2 linked regions of the Mus musculus genome follow. The protein of the gene in region 2 interacts with the protein of the main gene of each other region in a pairwise test. Links are inferred from orthologs where the notes say so. Each region holds a gene or a part of one and is shown on either strand. Other genes may lie near its edges.

Region 1 (3,908 bases), on a different chromosome or scaffold from region 2:
AGTGAACCCTGCCTAGGAAGCCATTTTTCAGCCCTAGGCCTAAGCAGCAGACATGTGAGTCTGGGTAGCAGCCCTCCCCATCACACACCACAAATAAGAGTCTGCATTTACAGCCATGAACACCCTGCACACTCCGACTCACAAGCAACCCAATTGCAACCATTTATCAATTGCAGCCCGTGGACGGGGAGCCCCAGGGCTTCCAGATAACTTATGGTGGCAATAGCCTCTTCTTTTCTGCTACTCAGCTCACAGTTTGGTTAACACAAGTTCAGGGAAACTGGGAAGCAAAATTGCTACAGCTCTAAGATAGAGAAGCAGAGATGAGGTGGGGGGGGCGGGGGGCGGGGGGGACGACAGAAAGCCCTTCCCAGCATACCAATCCTTTTAACGGACCCAATGGAGAGGCAGAGAAAGGTGTAATTGAGTGGAAGAGGGGCACAAAGAGCAAATAACATATACAGTTTTTTTTTCTTTTTCTGTCCAGCATCCCTCCTTAGACCTCGGGACTCAGAAAAGTTACCTGCCTCCCAAAGCAGAGCCAATTACAAGCAAGATCCACTCCACCAGCTTAGCCCCCAAGTGAAAAGCTCTGAATATCTATGTATATTTTAAAATTCACTTCATCCTACACTAAGTAGCGTGTCCTGCCAATTTGCAGCGCTATTCCCTTAATGTGATTGTCTGGGATGGGACCCGCAGCCTTTTCCTCTTTCATTAAATATGAAAGAGGAAACAAAAAAAAAAACTGTTAATAATTGAGCCTAGCCAAATGGCTGCCTTGCAATGATGGGCAACTCAGGCCTAGTCTGGGGCCATGGGGTGAGGGGTCTGTTTGGGTGTTTTCTGGAGCTTTGGGAGGAGCTGTTTTGGGGATATGAGCTCCTTAATAACTCAGCCTGGCAAGTTGGAGGTATGAGGGGACCACAAGGGTCACAGGGGAATAGTGTCTCTCCTTGCTTTTCAGAGGGCAAGCATGCCCCCAGAGGACCCATTGGCCTCTCTGTTGGTGGGGCATCCAATAGGGCGAGCAAGGACCAAACTATTTGCCCAGAGGAGGAAGAGGTGAGGAGTTGACCTGTCAGTTTGTCCCGTATTGTTTGGGACCAAGAGCGAGCCCCAAACCAGTTTGTCTTCCCCATCCTTAAAAACAAACCCCTAAAAGTAAGCCTCCTCTACTCTCAGCCAGCAGCAGTTTCCACTTGGGGTTTTATTTTAGCAAGGGTGCTTTTAGGAGTGGGAGGTGGTAAGAAACTCTCCACCAAGGGTAGAGTTCTCCGCCCCTGCGCAGTCCTCCCCCTCCCTCCCCCGGGGTCCCTTTGGGTGTCTTCTCCTCCATTCTAGAGGGAGGCCCTGTCTTTAGCAAGTGATGCCTAGACTCTCGGAGAGGTGAACTGCCCGGCCTAAGTGATCGGAAGCCCCGCGGAGATCAGCGTGCAACCGCAGGAGGAGAAACGGCCGTCCTGTCGAGGATGCCCTAGAAGGGCGGGGGACCCCCGGAGGGAAGGCTCCCGGGGAGGGGCCGGCGCACCGGGGAGGGGGCTCCGTCACCGCATCCTGGGCTTCCCCCGCCCCTCCCGGCGCCTGCTGCCGACCCGACGCGGCTACTGCGTGAGATCTGCTAGGAACAATCCTCCGCCAAGCTGTTGCATCGCAAATAAAATCCTAATGAGCCCCCTCCCCCTTCCCCTTGGCCGGCAGGGACGGTCTGCGCGTGGCGCAGGCGGCTCTGCCGAGTGCTCTTCGGCCCCGTGCCCGCGCGGGCTCCGGGCCGCGCTGGCCATCGGCCCGGCCTCCTACAGTTCTATCGCAGGTCCCTCTCCCTTTTTCCAGCCCGAGCCTGGGGAAGAATGAAGGACTAGAGAGACTTGGTCCCTGAGTCTCAGTCCCTGCGCCACAAGGAGGAGTGGGGGGTAGCCTCAGTGTCCCCCTCCTGGACACCCAGCTTTTTGCTTTGCCAGCCCCTTCCTTCCTCTTCCCTCCACCCACTCTAGCCCTGCGGCCCCAGGCGCTCTGTCCCTTTACATTGTCCGCTTTATGGCCTCTCCCCTCCCCTCCCCCGGGCCTGGCCTGCAGCCTGGGGGGGATTTCCTCACTTTTTTTTTTTTTTATAACTTACTTTGATCCGGCCTCTCTTTGTCCTCGCTTCCTTCGCAAATTTTATTGTCCCCGTAGCCAGCTCTTTGATTAGACAGGACAGCCTCCCTGCCCGCCGAAGTTTCCAAACTGTACTCGGGCGTGCCCTGTTTGAGCAGCTCCCCCGGCGCGCCCAGCAGCGGCTCCGCCTTCACGGCCGCCTGGCCCTGCCCCGGGGCGGCCTCGGCGCGCGGCGCCGGCTCTAGCCAGGTGCGGAGGTACCTGCTTTCGGCCGCCGGCGCGCCCTGGGGCTGCAGGTAGGGGTGGTAGACAGACGGCAGGCTCCCCGAGGCGTGCGGGCTCAGCGGCGCCCAGGAGGCGCCGAACACCGGCGCTTTGGGCTGGAAGCTGCACGAGGGGAAGTCCAGGTGCTCGGCGTGGCCCGGCTGCCGCGGGTTCGCGTACTGGCCCGAAGGAAACTTGGCTGGAGGCGCGTCCTCGCTCTCGTGACTTATGATCGAGTCGACATAATAGCTGCTAAGCGTCCCAGAAATGGACATTCTCAGACATTATCCGCGCGCTCGCAGGGGGAAGGGAAGCGCTCGCGCCGCGGCGCCCAAGCAGGGAAAAGGTGGCACACGGACCCGGTGCAGAGGGCTTTCGGACGCGACCCCCCCCAGACCCCCACCCTCCCACCCCCACCCCCTGCTCAACTTCTCAGCCAACAAAGTACAGTGGAGCAGCCCGGCTCGGAGCTCCTTGCAAAATGATTGGTCAAAGTTTTGCGGACTGCCTGATAAAGCGTCAGCTCCGACATAAATCAATCGGGCGAGGGGGCTGCGCTCGCGCTGTCATCCGTCCTCACCGCATTCCATATCCAGGATGGATTGTTTTATGCTGATGCAATGTGCTATCACGTCAGGGCTCCGGCGGCCACGTAACCTCAGCCTGAGCTGCCGGGCCGCCCGGGCCCCTCCCGCTTTTACAGGAAGGGGGGTTCTCAACATGGGGCGATGGGGGCGGAGGAGAGGCGGAGGCAAGCAGCGGGCTGCCTCAGGAGGGACGCAGGCTGAGGAGCCCTCTCCCCAGGCAGATTGGGGGGGGGGGGAGGACCAGCATACAGGGAGGGAGAGCGCCCCAGCCTCAGAGCTGCGGGAGAGGCCCGACAGGGTAATTAAAGAGGAGGTAGTCTTGTCGCCCCCCCCCAACACCTCCACCTCCACCCCGCGGGCCCTCATTTCCTGTCCTCTGTCCCCTTGACAGAGATGTTTATTAAACAACAGCAGTACAGCGACCCACAGGAGATGAAGTAAAAGGATGAGAAAGAAGTTGGGGCTTTTATAGGACAGTTATCCTCTTTGGAGGGGGTTCAGGGCACAATTTGGGGAGATTTACGTGACTAGGCTCTTCCCTTGATCCTTTAGCAGCTGAGAGAGGCGAAAGGGGACTAGTGTCCAAAGAATCATTATCTGTCTTGAAATTATAGCCTGCCTAAGGCCAAAGAGACACACCAGGCCCTGGAACTAGAGTTTCGGGAGACTAACCAGTCTTGTTTAACTCCTTAAAATTTTTCTTGGGCCTTTGTGAAAGGCTGGGTCCATGGTCATTTCTTGTCCTTCATCCAGGAATCTCTGAGACCCTTAAAAATGTCCAGATGAGAGGGCTAATGTGGGAAATGATTAAAGGAGAAGGGGAAGAAGACTCCCCAAACGGCACAGTAAGGAACACCGGGTTACCTTCCTTTCCATCCAAAAAGGGAAAGAGGCCAGCTAAATTCTCAGCACTCTAGCGCTTTTCACCCGGAATTGCCGCTCTGGAAAAGGTCCAAATAC
Region 2 (3,908 bases):
TAAGGCCAAAGAGCTCTGATTTCTCCTTAAACTACCTCCAATCCCAAAGTCAACTGTACCTCTGTAATCACTCATCACGAAGAAGTCTTCAAGATACAGCAACTTGCCAATCCATGGGTCATAGGTAAAATAGTACATGGCGAACCCAACAATGCTATGTCCTGTAATCAGAGTATCCCATGAGATGCAAAGAAGAAAAACAACCCATTCAAGCTGTATTGGTAGAATCAGAAGCCTAGTGTAGATTGTAAGAAAATATATATGCGTGCACCACTGAAACAAGTAGCCAGGAACTGGACTGCCTCCTTATGTTTATGCTACTACAGTCCAGACCAATGATGAATGATCTCTCTGGTCTCAGACATGTACTTGCAAAAGGCACACATTAGAGATAGCTGAAGCTAGGCTACACTTGTGGACTGGCTAGTCTGTACTCTGCAGGACTCACACTTAGGAAATGAGAACATTTTCAGTACTTGCCAGAACAAAAGGGCCAGGGACTTAAACTAAACACACACATTATTCACATCCTAATGACATGCTGGTATGTTGGCTTGGCAAAAGTTGGGTTTACACAGCAGTGTAGAAGAGGAAATACTTGCAGTTTACCAACTCTTGCTTCCTTAAGGTCAGAAGACCAGACCAAAAGAACCATGTTTACTTTCAGAACTTGCCCTCCCACATATAAATTTTCAATTTACTTCCCCCACTCTTTAAGGCAGGAGAAATAGCAGTAACCAGAAACAGGTGTTACATAACACCCACATACTTCTAAAACTTAGTTCATCCCTTACGTGTTCTGATTATCTTCGAGCCTAAGGAACAAACATCAGAAGAAAACTCAAGAAAGCACCCACCCAAACAACTTCCCCTTTTAGCCGTCTCCTGACCAGTCAACAAGGGCCAGCAAAAAAAAAAAAAAAAAAAAAAAAAAAAGGTGTCAATACATAACTAAAAATAATAATTAACAACTGACTACCTCATAAGGAGTGTCAATTCAATTTCAAATGGAGGCAAAGGTTGCAAATTAGAGGCAATGGTTGCAAATTAAATTTTCTAGCCATTTTGTATTTCTTTGCAGACAGACAGGAAGCGAAAATAAATTTCTGATCTACTGTGTTTTAAGTGTGCGATAATAGGACCTTACCTCATTTATCATGATCATCTACTTTATTGTGTAAAGGGTCTTTTAGTTACCTCCCCGCCCATCCATGTACACAGAAGGGCCATGTACATGGCGAAGCTAGAGACTGTAACCTGAAGATTGGGACAAATTAAAGAAAAAAATGTGATTTAACACAATTACAAAAAAAAAAAAAGTTAGGTTAGGGTCAAACAAAAACCATTTTATGAAACGGAATTACAACAAATGACATTATAACTAACTTTTCCGGGTTTCTACAGAACTTTGATACTTGCTCAAACAGCTCTCTCATAACCCGCCCTATTAGAAAGTACACTACACATATATTTTTTTTCCTCAGTCATTTGCACACTGGCTGGTTGTTATTTCCAGCCAGCTCCTCAGTAACCTCTGCCCGCGTAGTCACGGGTTCTGCCCAGTAGGCTCTACGGGTTTGATATAACATTAGTTCTCTCTGGCTTCTCGACAGGGATCAGGGGTTACCTTCAGGGGTCCAGTGCTCTTTAGGCACTTCTGCAACCAGGCAGTGGTAGAAGGGGTGTTCTCCAAAGCCATCCTCTTGGAGATCTGTAAGACAGGGGAGGCAGAGACAGTGAGAGTTGACCTTTGGAGGTGCCAGGAAACAGATATTACCCGCCCCTCCCCCTCCCCCGCCACGCCTTGTTACCTTTCTCAGTTAAAATGACTTGATCTTCCATGTATTCATATTTAGCCAGTTCCTGGGGACGACATATAAAGAAAAGGACAATGAAACTCCTGGCCAGCCTAGCCAGCTCACGGGAAGAGAAATGGGGCAGGCAGGGTAGAGCGGTGACTGAGTCCTGCCTGGCGCCGAACAGCCGAGCCTGACCCGGGCTGGGGTTGGCAGGCCAAGAAGGCGGAATTTACTGGCCTGGCTGCGTCTCAGAACTGCAGATGAGGATTTCCCCGGTCAACAGAGCCTCCCCTACCCTCTGCCCTAGGGAGAGCCCGGACTTTTACCTACCTTGATCAGTCGCAGGATGTCACTGCAGTCAGAGGCAGTGGCTGGACGGATCTTAAATTTAGCCATTTTCGTCTTTTGCTTTTCTTCCCTTTGCGCACCAGGCCCCTGTACTTGAACAGCAGGAGGAGGTGGTTCCTCATTCGTTTCCCGGGAGCGTCCTCTTCTCAGTCAGGCTGGCACCATGACCCGGCGAACCTCAGTATAAGACAGAAAACTGGCAAACTTACTTCGGGGAAACTGCGCAGCTAAGAAGTGGCAAGACGGTGCCTTTTAAGTCCGCAGAAGCTCCTCCCTGGACGGGGAGCCGGAGAGATCGCGACCAGTAAGGATGAAAGCCCGCCGAAGCACCGCCCTCTGTTCCAGACACTGCCCTCTTCCGGGCTCTCTCGTGACACCCATGGCGCAAACCCGGAGGGCGGGGTAGGGCGAGGCGCGCTGCTGCCTTTCTAGCCTCATGTCCTCTAGCGGCGCCTTGCGGATCCTTGCCGGAAGCATATGAATGCCAGCTTGTCCCCTGGTAACCTTCCTAAATAGAACATGTGGATTGCCTCTGTGACCCCGACATTGCCGAGAAAAGCAAACTCAGGAAGCCCAGCTTTAGGGTATGACAGAAAGATGAGAGCAGCAGCCATTCTCAAAGTGTCGTCTGGAGGCATAATTTCCTTTCCTCTCTAGTAATTTTCCACAGGCAGTTCATTGAGATGTGGTGATGTCACCATTTTCATGACTAAAGAAAGGTGTGGGTTTGAATCTTGTTTTAATTTTGAGACAGGGTCTCTCTATGTAGTCTTGACTATCCTGGAACTCACTATGTCACAACAGGCTGTCCTAGAATTCACAAATCACATAGATCTGCCTGCCTCAGTCTGCCCAGTGTTAGGATTAAACATGTTCACCACAGCCTGCTATTCTTGTATGTTCTAAGGTCAGTTCTTAGGATCCCTCGATTGCTTTCCTTCTAGCTTAGTGGTTCTCAACCTGTAGGTCACAACCCCTTTGGGGTCATATATCACATAGCCTGTATATCAGACATTTACATTACAATTCATAACAATATAACAGCAGCAAAATTACAGTTAAAAAGTAGAAACAAAATAATTTTATGGTTGAGAGTAATCCACAACATGAGAAACTGTATTAAATGGTTGCATTATAACGAAGGTTGAGAACCAGTGTTGCAATGGCTAAATTTAAAATGTTATCTTTCCTTCCTTCCTTCCTTCCTTCCTTCCTTCCTTCCTTCCTTCCTTCCATTTATGTATTTATTTTTTGAGACAAGATTTCTCTGAGTAGCCTTGTCTGTCTTGGAACTCTGTACACCAGGCTGGCCTGGAACTCAGAGATCCTCCTGCCTCTGCCCCCCACCACCTGGCAACATTTTCTTTCTTACTCCTCCCGCTTTCCTTCTTAAATATCTGTTCTTCCTTGTGGACTTTCCTTCTGAAGGAGAGAAACACTTGATAATTCGCTTTAATGATGTATGCCATCTTACATTATTGAAGAGTTGATTTCACTGCTTATAGATTTTGAGGTCTGGAAGTTTTCTTTCTACACACTTATATCTGACCGTCTCTCAGCTTTCTTTGCTATTGAAAGCTGTTGTTGTCCTTACTTGCTCCAGTCCATGCACTTCTTTTGTTTCCTTTAACTTTGTTTGTTTGTTTTCGAGACAGGGTTTCTCTGTGTAGCCCTGGCTCCTTTAACTTTTTATTTTGAAATAATTCTAAACCTACTGAACATGTCACGATATCATTACTCTAATGATTACAGGGATGTCTG

The links.
Region 1: the proteins of Sat1 (region 2) and Hoxb9 interact in binary tests that used the Homo sapiens proteins (3 or more experiments, as listed by UniProt). The two-hybrid records come from large-scale screens. The link is inferred for Mus musculus from reciprocal best matches to the Homo sapiens genes SAT1 and HOXB9.

What each region holds. Positions count from the first base shown.
Region 1 is NC_000077.6:96,270,270-96,274,177, reverse strand, and holds the start of Hoxb9 (homeobox protein Hox-B9), read right to left. Parts: upstream 2,849-3,908; 5' UTR 2,637-2,848; coding exon 2,120-2,636; intron 1-2,119. UniProt on the Homo sapiens protein: Sequence-specific transcription factor which is part of a developmental regulatory system that provides cells with specific positional identities on the anterior-posterior axis.
Region 2 is NC_000086.7:155,213,974-155,217,881, forward strand, and holds the start of Sat1 (diamine acetyltransferase 1), read right to left. Parts: upstream 2,477-3,908; 5' UTR 2,196-2,476; coding exon 2,130-2,195; intron 1,864-2,129; coding exon 1,812-1,863; intron 1,712-1,811; coding exon 1,628-1,711; intron 1,258-1,627; exon of another isoform or gene 162-1,257; coding exon 60-161; intron 1-59. UniProt on the Homo sapiens protein: Enzyme which catalyzes the acetylation of polyamines. Substrate specificity: norspermidine = spermidine >> spermine > N(1)-acetylspermine. This highly regulated enzyme allows a fine attenuation of the intracellular concentration of polyamines.